Linked DNA regions of Callithrix jacchus. The protein of the gene in region 2 binds, or shares a complex with, the protein of the main gene of each other region. Links are inferred from orthologs where the notes say so. Each region holds a gene or a part of one and is shown on either strand. Other genes may lie near its edges.

Region 1 (8,858 bases), on a different chromosome or scaffold from region 2:
ATCTTTGGTCCCTTATGCCCAAATTTCAGAATCAGCTTATCAGGTATTAAGAAAATCCTTCTTGGGATTTTAATTGGAATTGCTAGAATCTGTAAATAACTTTGGAGGAAATTGCCATCTTTATAATATTGAATTATTCTCTTTCTTGAATCTTTCTCTGTTCTTGAAACACAGAGAATGGGAAATTGTGTGTGTCGGTTACAAAAAAAAAGGAAAAAGATATATATGAGCATCCTTACAGCCAATGAATGAAAAAGCTAATCCAGAATCCTAGACAACATTTTTCAGCATGGGATCACTGTCTCATATAATAGTGTGAAAAAGCTTTTTCTTCTTTTTTTTCACACTAGAGATTCACATCACAATTTAATGTTCGCATTTCCTCTTGAGACTCTTACTGAATTAATATGTCTCTGGCTAGACATTACAGATTTTTGTAGGAATAAAATGGTCTGGCTCAGGATATCATTGGGAAATGAGGTCAGCAAGTGCCAGATTACAATGAATTTTATTAAATCCAATACACTCAGGGGATTTTATTCGTTGTTTCTTATCTAGCCTTTTTTCTCACTACTTTGGTTCTCTAAAGTGAACTATTGAAGCATTTTACAAAAGGAGAAATCCTCCAGGTTACCAGACACCGAAACTCTCCTCTGTTCTCTAGGGGATTTCACTCTAGATTGCTGCAACAGTCATTTGATTCTGCACTGTAAATACTAGGTTGTCTAAGTGTTTCCAAATCCTTTGTGTTCACTTTTAGCAATTCCCAATCACCAAGACTTCAGTTTCCATTGCTTAACAGGGAAGCTAAGAGACACTCCCTTTTCATTCTCCATCTCTTAAATAGACAAGGACATTAAAAGTCAGAAGTATGTAATATTTATGCCTGAATGTATCATGCTTTTTCTAAGCAACAGTATTTAATCTATTTGCCAAAGGATGGCATTTATCTGTTGCTTTTTTGATTTATGGTTCTTTCTTCATCCTTCTAGTTTTTCCTATCTCCAATTTCTTTTTTCTTGAACATAAGCTGAAATTCTTCTCCTGAAGATGTTTGAGGCTGGTTCACATAGTCCCTAATCCCGCTGGAAATCCTTAATGATTTATAAAATTTTTCCCCTACTCAGATTAGCAACAAAACACTCTTAATGCTTCTAAAAATGCCATCATATGAACTAATTTGGATCTTTAGGAGTCAGATTTATTCACTTCCAAGCACTATTCAAGTGTTTCAGTGATTCATGCTTCAATGGCCCTATTAATTTCAGTGCCATTTTCCTCTTTCGGGTTTTGCAGCTGCTTTGTGGAGGCAAAGGTTCATTCAAATGTAATATATTTGAGGGCAATATATGAATCTTCATGTGTGACTTTACATCTCATTCAATAATAGATGCCCTTCTTTTCCCTGTGTATGATATGTTGTTTCTTTTAATGGATTCAAGCTTTTCTCTTTATCTTTTTGACTTTCAATAGTTTGATTAAAATGTAGAATTCTTTGTGTTTATTTTAGTTGTTGTATATTTAGCATTTTGTACTGGCAAATGTCTCTCATTAAATTTGGGGAAATTTTGGCCACTCTTTCTTCAACAGTTTTTTTCTGTCCCTTGTTTTTTTCTACTTCTGTTATTTACATGCATGTTGAATCAAATCTCTGTGGATCTACTCACTTTTTAAAGATAATTTTTCTTGTTGTTGTTTACTTTTAATAATTTATATTGCTCTATTTCAAGTTCCCTACTTTTTCTTCTGTAATTTCTTTCTGGCTGTTAAATTAACCCAGTTAATTTTTTTATTTTTAAAATTATAATTTTCAATCTTCAGAATTTCTATTTGGTTTTAAAAATCTTTTTTTTTCTTTTTTTGCTGAGATTTTCTGTTTGTCTCTTGAGATTTTCATTCATTGAAAACATGTTTTACTTCATTGAAATTGTTTTAATGGTCACTTTAAAATCCTTATCTGTCAGTTTCAACTTCTGATTCATCTCAGGGTCAAACTCTAGAGTATGCAATCCATTTTCTTGAATTTCATATGTCAGATAATTTGGGATAGTATACTGGACTTTATGAGTGTTAAGTGGAGAGTGTGGATTCTATTATTTTTCTCTGATAAGTGTTATTTCCTTTGTATTCGTAGGTAATTTTTCTGGCTAGATTTTAACTGCAAACTCTCTCCCTTTGGAGACAACTCTGATCTCAGTTCAGATTTTTTGTCTTTAACTGAGCTGCTGTGATTCTGTTTTGAGTGGTTCAGGAGCTCTCAGAGATGTGGATTGACAGAGTTTGGGGATCCACTCTCTGATCCTTCCTTGGGATTTCTTAACCTCTTCGGAATTCAAACTATTCTGGCTTCACTTTTCTGCTTCCCCAGATAAGAATAACCAATAAGTTTTATATACACACACCTGCTGCTGCTGCTGCTGCTGCTGCTGCTGCTGCTGCTGCTGCTGCTGCTGCTGCTGAGCCTAACTTCTGGACTGCACTTAGCCCCAAGTTAAATGCCAGAGAGGGGAATGTTCTTGTGGAGTTCCTCATCTTTAAGCAAGCTTGCCCTTCCTACCAGTCTGCTGTTCACTCTCCAGTATATTCAGCTTTTTGTATTGTGTTCAACTTGTTTTCTGCTGGGGATGGTCCAGTAGGGTCTTAGCCTATCATGGTTGAAAGTTGAATTTCTGTCCTGCCTGGAACTTCGGATTTTGAGTCATCCTTGTCTTGGTAAATGCGATAGCCTCCTCACCAGTCCCTGTTTATGTCCTTGCTCCCTACAGTCCATCCTCAACACATCAGAGTGATCCTATGAAAACATAACAGGAGCCTCCAACAGTTTCCCATTTCGCTCACAGTAAATAAAAAATGCTTAAAATGTGCTACTCTGCCTGCCGGAAACTCCTCATCCTTGGCTTCCAGATCACATGCTTGTGCCAGTTTGTATCCTAGCTTTCTGAACACTCATTCAGCAACTCGTGTTTCCTCTAATACTGAAACATGGGTCCAGCCTGTAACTACGGTTCTACTTCAAAGATTTTTGTCAAGGCACTGAGTAAGGCTTTTCCGGTTCTCAGGAATCAGAAACCAGGACCCCACTGTTAAAGGCAAAGAGAACGTATACATCCCCCAACTTTCTCAAAGAACTATAGGCAGCACTGACTTAAAGAGGATTAAGAGCTTCCAGGCGCGGGCTACTCTTGAATATTTTTCAGGCTAGAACTTGCTCGGATTTGAATAAACGCAGAGCAAAACTAGAGACTAAACTAGAGAGCGTTCGCGCAGGTTCTTACTACCTTGGTCAGAAGGGGGGGCTGACGCAACTTTCCTCCCAGATTCAGAGCCTTCTCGTGCAACCACGGCGAGTCTCGAGGAAGCGGAACCCACAGGCGCGCGCGCAGCTGTTTCTGGCCGGGCACGGGTCGCGGTGCACCACGGGAGTGCCAAACCGGCTGCATGGAGGAGCGCGGCGATTCCGAGCCGACCCCCGGCTGCAGCGGCCTGGGTCCGGGCGGTGTTCACGGCTTTGGCGACGGCGGCGGAGCTCCCTCGTGGGCCCCCGAGGACGCCTGGATGGGCTCCCACCCTAAGGTCAGGAGGCGTGAGAGGAGCAGGACGCCGTCCGGGCCCCTAGCCCAGGCAGAACTCCCGGGCTGCCCTCTTACTTTCTCCCTCAGCGCGAGAGCTGAGGATGCGCCCCACCCTCACCGAGGTGGACCGGTGTGCACAGCTGCCAACCTCAGGCAGCATCGGTTTTGTTTGTTTAAATTAGTTGAACTATTCGTTCCGACACCTTCCCCAACCCGCCACCGAAGCCATTCTGGAACCTAGGACCAGACATTAACTCCACCCCTCTCGAGCCGGAGATTCCTAAGAAGCGTTCCATTAGTTTTGCTCTCTAGGTAAATCCCCTTTCCGGGATGAATTCATTTAATCCTCACAGTAACCATGCAAGACAGTTTGTGGCCGATGGATAAGCTCTAGGGGTCCATAATGGTAAAGATTTAGGCACAGTCATATTTACATTTAGCTTTGGGTCCAGAGTACACCTTTATTTTGCAAAGGTGCAGATTCCTAATATTTCAGATTTCTTTGAAAGTTTGAATAGGTTCTTACCCAAAGCAGAGCTACTCACATTTTACTTGTATTTTTCTACAGTAGCAGGAAGGGAGATAAAGATAGTCCCCTGCGTGCTTCTGCTTGAGACATTACTGCCTTGTCCCAGTAAGGTTCCAAGCAGTAAATAGACAAGTGAATGGAGATGTGAGTTTTGTAAAAATCTCAAAAACTGGTCTGGTCTGATACTTTATTAGAATTGTACTCTTCTCCTAGAGAGCAATAATTCATAGATAATAGTCTAAAAACGGAAAAATTTGAAGGTATATGTTTGAAAAGAGTTAACCTTTTTCAGCTTCTCTTGCTTAATTTTATGTTCCTATGCCGTCCCCTTCATTCTTCCAAAAGGTGAGAAAAAGAAACAATAGTATGGAAATACTTAGTGCCATGAAAGAGAAACAATAGCATGGAGAGACAGCATAACGGTTAGGAGCATGAACTCAAAATCAGACTCAGTTTAAATCTTGATTCTGTCACTTATCAACCTTGTGATTTGGGACAAGTTGTTTGATCCCATTATGCCTCAGTTTCCTCACCTGAAAAATGGGGATATTAATAGTCCATACTTACAGGGTTGCTACAGGATTAAATTAGTTAATATTTGTAAGCCATTCAACATATAGAAAGCACTATAAAGCACTTAATAAGTTAAACACCAGTAACAAATTTTTAAAACCTTATCTAGATTTGGTGTTGTTACTCAGTTTACATACTTGTAGAGTTTTTTCATTTTGAAGTTAATGGCTGTGTACATACACCATGACCATCAAATCTCTCCTTTTGATTTATCTTCTTGAAGGACCAAAATGATTTTTAAAAGAAAAGGAAAAGAAATAATAAAGTAATAGGGGGTGTTTGTTTTTCCAATTTCACCTTTTTGTTCATTCAAAAATTACATAGGTTCATCCAGTAAAATGGTATCAGATTTATTATCCTCAAACACACTTTTATTATTCTCTTGCTTAGAAATCCTCAGTGTTTCCTCAATGACAAAAATCACGTTTAGCTTAAGACCTTGCAGCCTGGCTCAAAATTATGTTTTGAGTGTCACTTTCCAACATGTTTGAAGTAGACAACTAATAACCCATATCCTCCTGTACCTGTGCAGTTACAGTGAAGCTGATGGGAGAATGTGACTTAGGACCTGTCCCCATGCAGGTCTGCTAGTACTTCACCTCAGCATTAGCCCCACATATCCACCTAGTCACCAGCATAGCTGGGCAGCTTCAGAATTCTGCAGGTGTAGGCCCCTGAAACACGTTTCCCTTATGCTGATCAGTTGTCTGAAAGAAGCAGCTTTCTCTAGTTTCTTGTCAATCCCCTTTTAAAAATCTAATGATTAAATAATTCCGTACTCTTAAAGTGCGAAAGAATGGGTAGAGAAGCTAGGACTGATACTGTGGCAGACTCTCTCCACAGATAAATAAGAGGCTAGGGAAATACACAGTACCTACTAATAGGTCCCAACGTAAATCTTATTAAAAAGGTTTCTATTGCTGGGAGATAGGTTTCTTTACAGTCCCTTGAATACGTGTGACTTAATCCCACCTTTGTGTGATTACCTGCACTATTACTCAACTTCTCCATTTACTCAAATGATAATGTTCTGTGCTCAACTTGTATCCTATCCTGCCTCTGCTGTAAAGCTTTCACCAGTCCCTCTGAGTAGAGCTCTTCTGACCTGTCGTGTCATGTTTCTTATTCCATTTACGTGGTTTTTAATCACGGTCATATATTGTTATTTGCCTAACAATGTTAAGTACGCATGTATTTAACAATCGCAAGTTCTTTAGAGACAGAGATAATATTTTATATTGCCTTTTAACTTCCACTATACCCAGAAGAATTTTATGGATTATATATACTTAATGACTGACTACTTGTTGATTGAAAGAAAATATTAAACAATTCTTCCTTCTCGATTTGACAATTATATTTTAATTTTCAGTATTTAGAAATGATGGAATTAGATATAGGAGATGCCACCCAAGTTTATATAGCATTCTTGGTTTACCTGGACCTCATGGAAAGTAAGTTGTTTGTTTATACTGTTTTGTTATTGGGACTGTGGTAGAGGTTTGGGGGATTGGATTGGGATATATATAGCATTCTTCACATTATAATAAGCAATCTTATATGCATTTGCTGTTAATTTTGTAATTTCTTCATTTATTTACATTGGGAATTACTGAGTAATAGAAACTACTAGAAAAGCAAAGAGAGGAGGTAGTGTTATGAGTGATATTTGCTCAGCTGAGTTTTAGGCAGAAGTTTGGAGTTTTTATCTTTTGATTTTAATAAACATTATTGTCCATTCAATGATGCTCTTTCAGGCAAAAGCTGGCATGAAGTAAACTGTGTAGGATTACCAGAACTTCAGCTCATCTGCCTTGTTGGTACTGAGATAGAAGGGGAAGGGTTACAGACTGTGGTGCCTACCCCCATCACTGCTTCCCTCAGCCATAACAGGTGAGCAGGTGATTTTGGTTTAAGTTCCTTTCCCAAGTAAAGAAGTAGGAAACATTAAAGGTAGCGATACAGTATTTTTAAAGAAGTTTGGGATACAGCAACCATAGCTTTACTCTTGGCTATTTGAGGAATAAGTTAAATATGACTGTTGTATTCAGCCGTTCTTGCATTACTATAAATATCTGAGATTTTTTTTTTTTTTTATTTCTTTAAAAAAAGGTTTATGGGACTCATAGTTCTGCGGACTTTACAGTAAGCATGCTGCTGGCATCTATGTGGCTTCTAGGGAGGCCTCAGAAAGCTTATAATCATGGCAGGGGATGAACCAAGAACAGGCACGTATATGGCAAAAGCAGGAGTGAGAGAGAATGTGTTGAGGGGGAGGTTCCACACACTTTTAAATGGCCAGATCTCACAAGAACTCATTGTCCTGAAGACAGCTCCTAGCCATGAGGGATTTACGCCCATAACCCAAATACCTCCCACCAGGCCCCACCTTCAACATTGGGGATGGCAGTTCAACATGGGATTTGGGCAGGAACAAATATACAAAGTATATCAAGGATTGAACAAGTATTTATTTAGCACTTACTCTGTGGTCAGTACTTTTTCAGAGACGGTATGTATGGTAGAAATATTAGCCTTATGGAAGTATTTATATTCTTGATAAGGAAGCAAGACCATTACATTTGAAATAATAGATATTATAAGATATACCATGTAATAGAAGTCATACTTGATATAGGAGTTGGTAAAGAGCATGATTAACATTAATTGAAATCAAAGAAAGTTTCATGTAGTTTATGGGACCTTTTTTTAAAAAGCTTAGGTACACAGCATTATATTAAACATGTCTTTGTTTCATGACGTATTCTCATTATTAGTTCATGCTTGGTTTTTATTTATTTACTTAGTTATTTTTAATAATGTTGTAAGTATCTCTGTACCCATCACCCGAAGCAAAACTAGGTTCTTGACTATAACTAACATCTAATCTTGTAAGTCCCTTAACATGTTCTCACTGACCTGAGGTAACTGTCATTCTGAATTCCATGTTTATTGGGAATTTTTAAATTTTAGATATTTTTAACTTCAATTTAAAAATCTTGTCTTTTATGACTGAACTTATACACTTAATATTATATTGCTAAAATTCATCCATTGTTGTGCCTTTTTTGGGCTGCCATATAATATTACATTGTGTGATTATACCACCATTTTCACATCCACTCCCTTGATGATGGAGTGTTGCTAATGTTTGACTTTAGGAGGTAATTTCAAACATTTTCAAATTGGTTGCCTCAATTTACTTTTCACCTGCAATGTAATCAAGACCCTTTGGAGCTGTATTGTCTCTACGTTGAGTATTGTCAGACTTTTAAATTTTGCCAACAGAATGGATTATTCTCATTGTGGTCTTAATTTGCCTTTCTCTCATCAATCATAATACTGAATATTTCTTAATATATGTATTATTTATAAGAAACATCTGTTCATTTCTTTTGCCTATTGGGTTGCCTTTAGTTTTCTCATTGACTTCTATGAATCTTTATATATTCTTGACATTAATAGTTTTTGATTGTGTTTTCCAGTTTTTAAATCTTTCACTGTCTTTAAGGTGTCTTTTAATTAATAATAGTTCTTAATTTGAATATAATTATATTTATCCATCTTTTATAATCAACATCTTTGTGTCTAGTTTAAGAAATATTTTCTATCTAAAGGTCTAAAAAATATTCACCTATATTTTCACTAAGAGTTCCATTGTTGTTGTTTTTAATGGTGTGAGAGGAGGTTAGGGATACCATTGTCATATGGATAACCACTTTTTCTACTTCCATTTACTGAATAGTCCTTCCTTTGCTCATTATCTGACATATCACTTCTGCTGTTTTCCAAAGTTCTAAACATGCATTAATTTGTCTCTGGGTTCACTGTTATATTCCATTAGTCAGTTTATCTGTCCTTTTGCCAATACCACATCTTCTTAATTGCTTGCTCCATAAGAAGTCCTTGTATCTGGTTAGCAAGCCTCCCTATGCGTTTCTTCTTTAGAAGCTGTGGCAGGCAGCTTCTAAGATGGCTTCTCATGATTCTGGTATTCGCTCCCTTGTGTAACTCTCTTCCCTTGAGTGTGGCCCAGACTCAGTGACTTCCTTCTAATGAATAAAATTTGGCAAAAATGATGGGATGTCACTTCTAAGATTAGGTTACAAAAGACTGGCTTCTGTCTTGGGCACTCTCTTGCACTTGCTATAAAGGAAGCCACCTGCCATGTGAGCTGTCCTGTA
Region 2 (8,873 bases):
GAATCCATTTACTATTCATTAAGAGGAAGCAGATCATTATAAAGGTCTTCATCCTTGTCCTCATGCTGAGTAGACAGAGGAGGAGGAGGAGGGATTGGTCTTGCTGCCTCAAGGTGGCAGAGGTGGAGGGGGTAAAAGGCAAAGCAGGAGAGGTAGGCATGCTGTGTGACCTTTACTTCTTTAAATCTGCAGTAAGTGGAGCTGAGCAGTTCAGACTCATGTTGCTCAAGGGTCAGCTGATGAGACTGGGCCTCACCTTGATCCTCTTCAGAAGCATGGTCCAATCACAGGGCACTGGCCCCTCTTCCACAAACCCCTCATGCTTCCTCCCTTTCACTCAGCCTGGAGCCCTCTGGCCCTTCTGCTCTGAAAGGCACACAGGTAATATAAAAGGAACCCTTGGTTTCCATCATGGGTTGCCAGGGACCAGTTGGGCATGCTTGGGGAGCTGAATTCCTTTCTTTTCTTTTGTACAAGTGTAATACAATCTAATTATGCCCCATCTGTAGGACGCAAAAGCATGTAGCTGTTTGCAAAAATGAAGCAAGCCTGGGCATATCAAAAAAGCAAGCTGCTGAGTGTGTATAGTATGCTACAATTTGCATTAATAAAAATCATAAATGCATATTAAAAATATGCTTAGAAAGTCGTATATTAGGGGAAATTATAATTTCCAAGTTGTCTCAGCCAGCCTTGATTTAAAAATGATAGTTTAAACCACTCATGGCCAGGTGCAGTGGTTCACACCTGCAATCCCAGCACTTTAGGTCAGGAGATCGAGACCATACTGACCAACATTGTGGAACCCCATCTCTACTAAAATACACACACCAAAAAAACAACTCATTCATTTAGCAATAATATACTGACTGCTTACTGTGTGCTAGGAACTGTTCTTGGTCCTGGGGCTGCTGCATGAACAAGGGAAAATACAACGAAAACAAAAACCTTTCCTTAACTGTGTGCCAACAACTTGTGAATGGATAAACAAAGTGTGGTTGTGTCCACACAATGGAAGTTTCATCAGTAAAAAGGAACAAAGCTGGCTGGACGAGGTGGCTCACGCCTGTAATCCTAGCACTTTGGGAGGCTGAGGTGGACAGATGGCCTGAGCTCAGGAGTTCGAGCCTGGGCAACAGGGTGAAACCCCATCTCTACTAAAATACAAAACACTAGCTTGGCATGCAGGCGGGCACCTGTAATCCCAGGTACTTGGGAGGCTGAGGTGGGAGAATCGCTTGAACCCGGGAGGCAGAGGCTGCAGTGAGCTGAGACTATGCTACTGCACTGCAGCCTGGGCAACAGAGCAAGACTCTGATCTCAAAATAAATTAAAAAAAAAAAAATGCTTGCCTTATACTCATTACTGGAGATAGTAAAAAAAATTTAAAAATGCCGGGCGCCGTGGCTCACACCGGTAATCCCAGCACTTTGGGAGGCCAAGGCAAGTGGATCACGAGGTCAAGAGATCGAGACCATCCTGGTCAACGTGGTGAAACCCCGTCTCTACTAAAAATATAAAAAATTAGCTGGGCATGGTGGCACGTGCCTGTAATCCCAGCTACTCAGGAGGCTGAGGCAGGAGAATTGCCTGAACCCAGGAGGCGGAGGTTGCGGTGAGGCGAGATCGCGCCATTGCACTCCAGCCTGGGTAACAAGAGCGAAACTCCGTCTCAAAAAGAAAAAATAAGGAAGAGGATGCTTGAAGTATGAAAATGCTGAAGTCTTAGTTTAAAAAAAATAATAGTAAGAGGACGCATGTGGTCAGTTCATGAGGAACCTGCAAAGTGAGGCCTTTGGCTTTCACTCGGAGATGGAAAACTGCGAGTTTTAGACAAGGGCTGTGAAATGGTCTGACTTATCTTTTAATATGATGATTCTGGCTGCTCTGTTGAAAACAGTCAACAGAGGGGCAAGGCTAGAAGGCAGGGGATGAGTTAGGACACTATTAGGATCAAATGAGCAATGGTTTGGTTTTTCTAAGATGCTGCCAGTGAAGGTGGAGGGCAGGGGCCAAACTTAGAACATGGCACCTACAGAATTTGTTGACTGATGACATGGAAACATCAGTCACAAAAGTTTTCTTTTTTTTTTTAAATAGAGGCGAGGTCTCACTATGTTCAGCTCAGGCTGGTGTCGAACTCCTGAGCTCAACTGATCTTCCCACCCTGGCCTCCCAAAGTGCTAGGATTACAGGCCTGAGCCACCACACCCAGCCACAAAAGTTTTGAATGAGAAACTTTTCAGAGGAGAGGCTCATGACAGAGGTACTGAGACATCTAATTACTTGTTGTAGAGAGGAGAAAGGGTAGAGCATAGACTTACAAGCCACTTATCAAACAGGCACAAAGATTAGTCTTGGCCAGACAGAGGTTAGTGTCTTTTCCTTTTTTTTTTTTGAGACGGAGTTTCGCTCCTGTTACCCAGGCTGGAGTGCAATGGCGCAATCTCGGCTCACCACAACCTCCGCCTCCTGGGTTCAGGCAATTCTCCTGCCTCAGCCTCCCGAGTAGCTGGGATTACAGGCACGCGCCACAATGCCCAGCTAATTTTTTGTATTTTTAGTAGAGACGGGGTTTCACCATGTTGAACTGGATGGTCTCAATCTCTTGACCTCGTGATCCACCGGTCTCGGCCTCCCAAAGTGCTGGGATTACAGGCGTGAGCCACCGCGCCCGGCCCCTTTTTCTTTTTTAAATGGAATTTCGCTCTTGTTGCCCAGGCTGGAGTGCAGTGGTGCAATCTCGGCTCACTGCAACTTTGGCCTCCTGGGTTCAAGTGATTCTCCTGCTTCAGGCTCCTGAGTAGCTTGGATAGATTACAGGCGTCCACCACCACACCTGGCTAATTTTTTTTGTACTTTTAGTACAGATGGGGTTTCACCATATTGGCCAGGCTAGTCTCGAACTTGGGGTTTCACCATATTGGCCAGGCTAGTCTCGAACTCGGGGTTTCACCATATTGGCCAAGCTCATCTCGAACTCGGGGTTTCACCATATTGGCCAGGCTAGTGTCAAACTCCTGACCTTAGGTGATCCACCCACCTCAGACTCCCAAAGTGCTAGGATTACAGGCGGGAGCCACCACACCCAGCCCAGTGTCGTATTTTAAATTAAACCTTTAGGAAATTGAGATTCTATGAAGTCTGTTTACTGGTAATGTCAAGAAAGTGGGGAGATGGAAGTCTCTCAAAACCTATTCTGATTCCAGAGGCCGCTCAATTCACAGAAGAGAGAGAGAGAGAAAAAGATAGCTAGATGGACAGATAGATAGATATATGTAGGGAAAAGAAATTAAGAACTAGAAATAAAGACTTTCAGCCCCAGAATTCTAGGCTGTGACTATTACACTGACAAAATAAAACTGCACACTGGTAGGATAAAGGTACTGGATTCGTGGCAGTGTTCCAGTACCGAGTTCTAAGCAAAACCGTGGGTAAACGATTTCAAAAGTGCGTATTTTATACACATACATGTTTTAGCTTTTGTAAAAGTTGCAGAATATAACACATAAAAAAACGAGTCTAAAATATCAATGTACAGCAGCAAAAAAATTCTCAACTACTACCCAGGCCATGAAAAAGCAGAACGCCTTCCAGAGTCCTTCCTGACATCCTCCCCATGCTCTGAACTCCTAAAATTACAATATTCTCATCTCCTTTTTTCTTTCATATGTATGTACATATACATATATACACACACACATATACATATGTATATATATTCACACACACACAGACACACACTTTTTTTTTGAGACAAGGTCTCTTGCTCTGTCTCCTATGTTGGAGTGCAGTGGTGCGATCACAGCTCACAGCAGCCTCAACTTCCCAGGCTTAAGGGATCCCTGGCTAATTTTTTTAAATTATTTTTTTGTAGAGATGGGGTATTACAGCGTCACCAGAGCTGGTCTCAAGCAATCCTCCTGCGATGGCCTCCCAAAGTGCTGTGGGATTACAGGTGTGAGCCATCACGCCCAGCCTATATTTTTATTTATGCATGCATCTGAGAAGTTTCATAGAAATCTTTTCAAAAGGAAGTTTAGTGTGGTAGAAAGAGGGCAGATTTAGGAGTCAGAAAAAAACATTTTTAAAGGCCAGGCCTGCTGTTGACTAGCTGTGTGACCTTGGCAAGTCATCCCCTCCTCCAGGCCTTTTTCTCATCTGTACATGCAGATAAGACCGCCAGCAGGTTCCAGGATTGTCATAAGAATTCAACTCATGAACATTCAGATAACAAGTTTATTGAGACCTCCTGAGACTTAACCCCTGTAGAAAACAGATGAATCAAACCCAGTTCCCATTCTCAGGAAGCTCACAGTGTGAAAACAGGTAACTGCAAAACAACACAGCCAGGAAGTGCTTTGAGACAAGGAAGAACATAAAAAGGACTTAGCGTTGGAAAACCTGGAATCAAAAACTAAGCGCAGAGAAAGGTGGGAGGATGTTCTAGACTCCCAGAAAAAGCTTGGGAACATCCAGAAAGGCTCTTGCTGCCGACACAGCCACATCCGCCTAGGTCTCTGGAGTTCACTGCAGGCTGGCCCACTGCAGGGAGGTGTAGACCACCTTACCATCAGGCTGCGGAGAGCAGAGGAGCAGGGTCTTTCTGACGCTGGTTCCAAGGCGCCCAGCAGCAACCAGGTCCTGGAGTGGGATGGGGTCCTCGGGGGCCCAGCACTGAGCGATGTAGTGGGCGTGGAAGCGGAGTGGGTCACCTGGTGGGGACAGAGGCACTGAAGCAGTGGCCAATGGCAGGGGGTAGAAGCCACAGGAGTGACTGCTGGTGGGAGATGCGAGAGCATTTCAGCAACTCCTCTGGATGGTCTAAACCAGATAATGCTTGGACCAACTACTACACTTCTAGATTTTTTTTCTTTTAAAGACAGGGTTTCTTCACGTTGGCCAGGCTGGTCTTGAACTCCTGACCTCAGGTGATCTGCCCGCCTCAGTCTCCCAAAGTGCTGAGATTACAGGCGTGAGCCATCGCACCGGCCTGATGTCTGCTTCTGAGTTAATCTTCTGGATCACAGTAAGCATTTAATAAGAGTCGCTAAACTGCTTGCCCAGTGAGTTGGGGAGCTCTCAAATGTTTCTTGTCCATCTGTGAATGTAAGAAGCTAACAGAAAGTGAGACAAAAAAGAAAAATGCAGCTGGGCCTGTAATCCCAGCACTTTGGGAGGCTGAGGTGCGAAGATTGCTTGAGCCCAGGAATTGGGACCAGCCTGAGCAACAACACAGACCCCATCTCTGTTAAGAGAAGAAAGGTAAGAAAACCGCAGAATACATTGAGATTGTAAAGACTAGCATAGCAACCAGAGGCCCCAACCCAAACTCACCCGGATAGACCAGGAAGTCACCTCCAAACTTCCCAGCCGCGCTGAGGAAGAAGCCCCGCTCCCACAGGTCTCTGTAGATGCTGTAGCGCAGCTCATGGGCAGGGCGGCCGGCGTGGGGCCAGTCTTTAGACTGGACACGCCAGTCCAGGGGCCTGGCCTTGACAGGTCGAGGCCTGGCAGTGGCCAGCTGGACAAGGAGAGCAGATCTGGGCAAGGGGGCTACTCCATTTGAGGGTCCTGCTTGGGAAGAGGAGGGGCCTGGTTGAAGTACAGAGAAGAGTTTGGTAAATCCAAGGGGCAAAGTCTTCGCACCCTCAAGGAGACCCAGGCACTGGATTCCCAGCTAAAATTCCCAAAAGATCTCTCCTTTTCTTCCCATGGTCCCTGGACTCCACCTCCCACGCTCACCGGCTTCCTCCTGCTCTCCCGAAGCCTGGAGATCACTGGTCTCGTTCACTTTGGCAGCCTGGCTCCCGCCGGCCTCCTGGCTCGCGCTGGCCCCTGAAGCCTGTTCCAGCTTCTGCTTCTTGGCAGCCTGGCCCTCCGTAATCTTCTCTAGGAGCTCCTGCCGACGGGTCTCCCGGGCCTCAGCTGCCAAGGCGCTCTGCTCCTGGAAGCTCTGTTCTTGTTGGCGCTTGAAGGATGTCAGGGCCTGAGAAGCACACTTCGCTGGAACCTCCAAGCTTATGGTCGCTTCGGAAGCCAGTAATCCGGACTCTCAGGCCCCGCTCCCACCAGATCCAGGAGTTCGAGCCCCGCCCCCTTACCAGGCTGTGGTGCCGAGGGTCTGGGCGCGGGGCGCTGACCAGAGTCACAGCACCGATCTCTGCCAGGAGCCGCGCCTCTTCGGGCATCAACAGCAGCGGGAGGCCCAAGCGTGAGTTCTGGCGGGGCCCGCGGGGCAGGGCGCCTACCGTGCGGCCCCCCACTCCCAGGCGCTCCCGGAGGGCCTGAACCGCCTCGGCCCCCCACACCAGGGAGCGGCCGTTCGCCACCTCCACAACCAGCATCCTCCTGCGGGAGCCGGGAGACAAAGCGGTCACCGAAACAGCTGCGCCGCGGGCCCCCGGGAGAGCACTCGGCGCCTCGGGATCTGGCAAAACCCCGCCCCCAGGCCACAAAGGGCGGGGCCTCGCTCGGCCGCTGTTCACCACCTGCTGGGCCCAAGTGCCAGGCCCCGCCCCCGGACGATCCCACCAGGCTCCGCGGCCGCCGGAGACGGAGCCCCGCTCAGCCCTTGTGACCCTGCCGTCGGCACCCGCTCTGTGCCCACACTGCCCTACCTGCTATTGCGCCTTCAAGTCTCAAAAAGAAACCACAAGCGCGGCGAATCACCCCCTTATAAAGGTCCATTTTGGCTCCACCCTCTTGCAAAGTGGGCGTTCCCGTCGGGGATCAAAAGCTCTCGAAGCTAAAGCACCGCCGAGGCCACACCCTCTTCGGGACGCTCCGGCCTTAGCTCCTCCTGTTTCCGAACCACTGTGATTCGGCTGTCGGGCCTACTCGCTCTCAGACTCCCACAGTACGAAACCCTGCTCCCTCCTTGGAGCGGGAGGTTCGGCGTTCGGGAGTCCTCGACTCCACCGAATACACCGCCCCGCCCCCTTCTCGAACGTGAGCCATTTGGCGTTCGGGTGTTCTCGGCTCGGCCGACTACGTAGCCCGCCCACTCCCGGACGCACAAGGTTCGGCGTTCTGCGTCATCGGCTTCTGGCAGTCCCGCAGCCTGTGGCCCCTCCCACTCCAAGAGCCAGCGCACCCCAGTTGGGGAGTTCCCGCCCCACGACCGAACCCCGTAGCCGAAAGCCCCGCCCCCTGGCCACCCGCCATCCACTCTCCGCTCGGGCAGGCTCACCCCACTTAGGAGCGCTCAGTCCGCTTCCTTGCTTCCCTTCAGAATGTCCCACGGTCCACGGATAGAATCACCGAGTCACCTCAGATACCACCAACTCGCAGTCAAGGCGGAGCCACCCACTACGCACCGCGCGCCACGCTCTGCTTCCTCCACCCTCCCCTCCCCATGTCGACCCCCAGCGTCAATTTCGTCATTCCGCCGCCTCGGCGCCGCGGGAAGTCAGGACCCTCCCCTCACAGGCCTGGAGCCCCGCCTTCTTCCCGCGGTGGCCACCTTGGCACCCCCACATCGAGCGCACCTCCCTCTGCCGCTACTCCGGAATTTGAGGATCGTCTCCCTGACCCCGCCCCCTACGCGCACGCCGATCTCCGGGGTTCCGCCCCTTTGAGGGCAAGTCGCTTTCGCCCCTCCACTTTGTAAATATTCTTCCGTATCTGCCGAACCTGTTGACTCCGCCTATCATCCTAGCGTCACTTATACCCAACTATCTACGAAGTAAACCGAAACTTGTAGCCCCACCCACATCCGGCCGAGTGTGGTCCCGCCCACATCAGAACAGCGACCCTGACTCGACTATCTCCGAAGAAAGCCGAAACGTGTGGCCCCGCCCACGCCGGCCCCACCACTCGGTTCTCGACTATCTCCGAAGTGAGCGGAAGTTTGTGGCCCCACCTCCAGTGAACTCAAGCTCCCGACTGTGCCCGAAGGAACCCGAACGGAGACCCCGCCTCATCTCTCACGCTAGGCTCCAGACCCCGCCTCTTTTCCGGATCCTGTCTTATCCTCCCCGGGCCCAAGGCTTTTGGCTCCTCCTTGTTCCGAGCCCGAGGCCCCGCCCCTTCACGTACTCGGAACTCGGAGCCCATTGCAGACCTGGACTCGAGTGCCGCTGCTGGCTCGCGCTCCTGGCGCCCGCTCCCGGGCTTCTTCCCTGCCCGCCCGGGGCCCTGACCGTGGCCTCATCCCCGGCCCGATCCGCGGGGCTCGGCGGGCGCCCCGAAGGAGCAGGCGGCGCGGGGGCGCACTGGGCGGGGGAGGCGTGGCCGGAGCCGCGGCGGCTCGCGGGCTGGGACTGCTCGGCCGCCTCCTTCCCGGCGGGCGGCTCAGGTGGGCCGGGGTGGCGGCCCCCAATGGCAAGGCGGGGGTCACGCGGTGGCGGGGTAGCTACGGACTGGCGGGTGCGGGGCGGCTCCGGGGCGCGCTGGAGTTCGGGGCTGGCGCAACCTCCTGTAGCTCTGTCGGGAGTGGGATCCGACCCACGCTGGCGTGCGCGGGACATGCTGGGCCTGGGCCTGGGGAAAGGAGGGGCTCCGATCCCCGAATTCTCAATAGGAGAGGGGTCTGGAGCGCCAAAGAGGTTGGAGGCTGGAGCCCCGGGCTCCTCTGGGTGCTCTCGAAGGAGAAGGGCTCGGGGTTACGAATATCTGGTTTCACAAGGGCCGGGGATGGGGGATGCAAAGAGGGGGTCTGGGCTCCTGGATCCTCGCTGGAAGAGGGGGCTTGGACGTCTAGACTCCTGGGCTCTCAAAGAGGAGGGGTCCGGGAGGGGTGCTGCTTCTGGGTTTTTTAAGGAGGGGCGTCTTCAAATCTGGGTCTTCAGCATGGGTGCAGGGAGTAGCTTTGATTTCTGCATTTGAAAAGGTGGGGCCTGGGTGCTGGGAGAGCCCCACGCTTTCCTGCG

What was found.
Region 1: the proteins of TSEN34 (region 2) and TSEN15 are in contact, whole or in part, in a crystal structure (PDB 6Z9U), measured with the Homo sapiens proteins. The link is inferred for Callithrix jacchus from reciprocal best matches to the Homo sapiens genes TSEN34 and TSEN15. Residues at the interface, in NP_001070914.1 of Homo sapiens: Pro251, Leu252, Arg253, Phe254, His255, Ala256, His257, Tyr258, Pro265, Glu266, Asp267, Thr268, Ile269, Pro270, Leu271, Gln272, Leu274, Ser283, Val284, Arg285, Lys286, Thr287, Leu289, Leu290, Cys291, Ser292, Gln294, Val300, Tyr301, Thr302; in NP_443197.1 of Homo sapiens: Leu70, Lys74, Trp76, Thr108, Pro109, Ile110, Thr111, Ala112, Ser113, Leu114, Ser115, His116, Asn117, Ile119, Arg120, Leu123, Leu141, Ile143, Val151, Tyr152, Tyr153, Lys154, Leu155, Thr156, Asp157, Gly158, Phe159, Met160, Leu161, Pro162.

The regions. Positions count from the first base shown.
Region 1 is NC_133519.1:42,221,558-42,230,415, forward strand, and holds the start of TSEN15 (tRNA-splicing endonuclease subunit Sen15), read left to right. Parts: upstream 1-3,406; 5' UTR 3,407-3,438; coding exon 3,439-3,573; intron 3,574-6,046; coding exon 6,047-6,128; intron 6,129-6,431; coding exon 6,432-6,567; intron 6,568-8,858. UniProt on the Homo sapiens protein: Non-catalytic subunit of the tRNA-splicing endonuclease complex, a complex responsible for identification and cleavage of the splice sites in pre-tRNA. It cleaves pre-tRNA at the 5' and 3' splice sites to release the intron.
Region 2 is NC_133523.1:47,374,125-47,382,997, reverse strand, and holds TSEN34 (tRNA-splicing endonuclease subunit Sen34), read right to left. Parts: upstream 7,532-8,873; 5' UTR 7,491-7,531; exon of another isoform or gene 7,193-7,490; intron 6,655-7,192; exon of another isoform or gene 6,621-6,654; intron 6,433-6,620; exon of another isoform or gene 6,352-6,432; 5' UTR 6,348-6,351; coding exon 6,105-6,347; intron 5,990-6,104; coding exon 5,746-5,989; intron 5,596-5,745; coding exon 5,338-5,595; intron 4,716-5,337; coding exon 4,528-4,715; 3' UTR 4,226-4,527; downstream 1-4,225. UniProt on the Homo sapiens protein: Constitutes one of the two catalytic subunit of the tRNA-splicing endonuclease complex, a complex responsible for identification and cleavage of the splice sites in pre-tRNA. It cleaves pre-tRNA at the 5'- and 3'-splice sites to release the intron.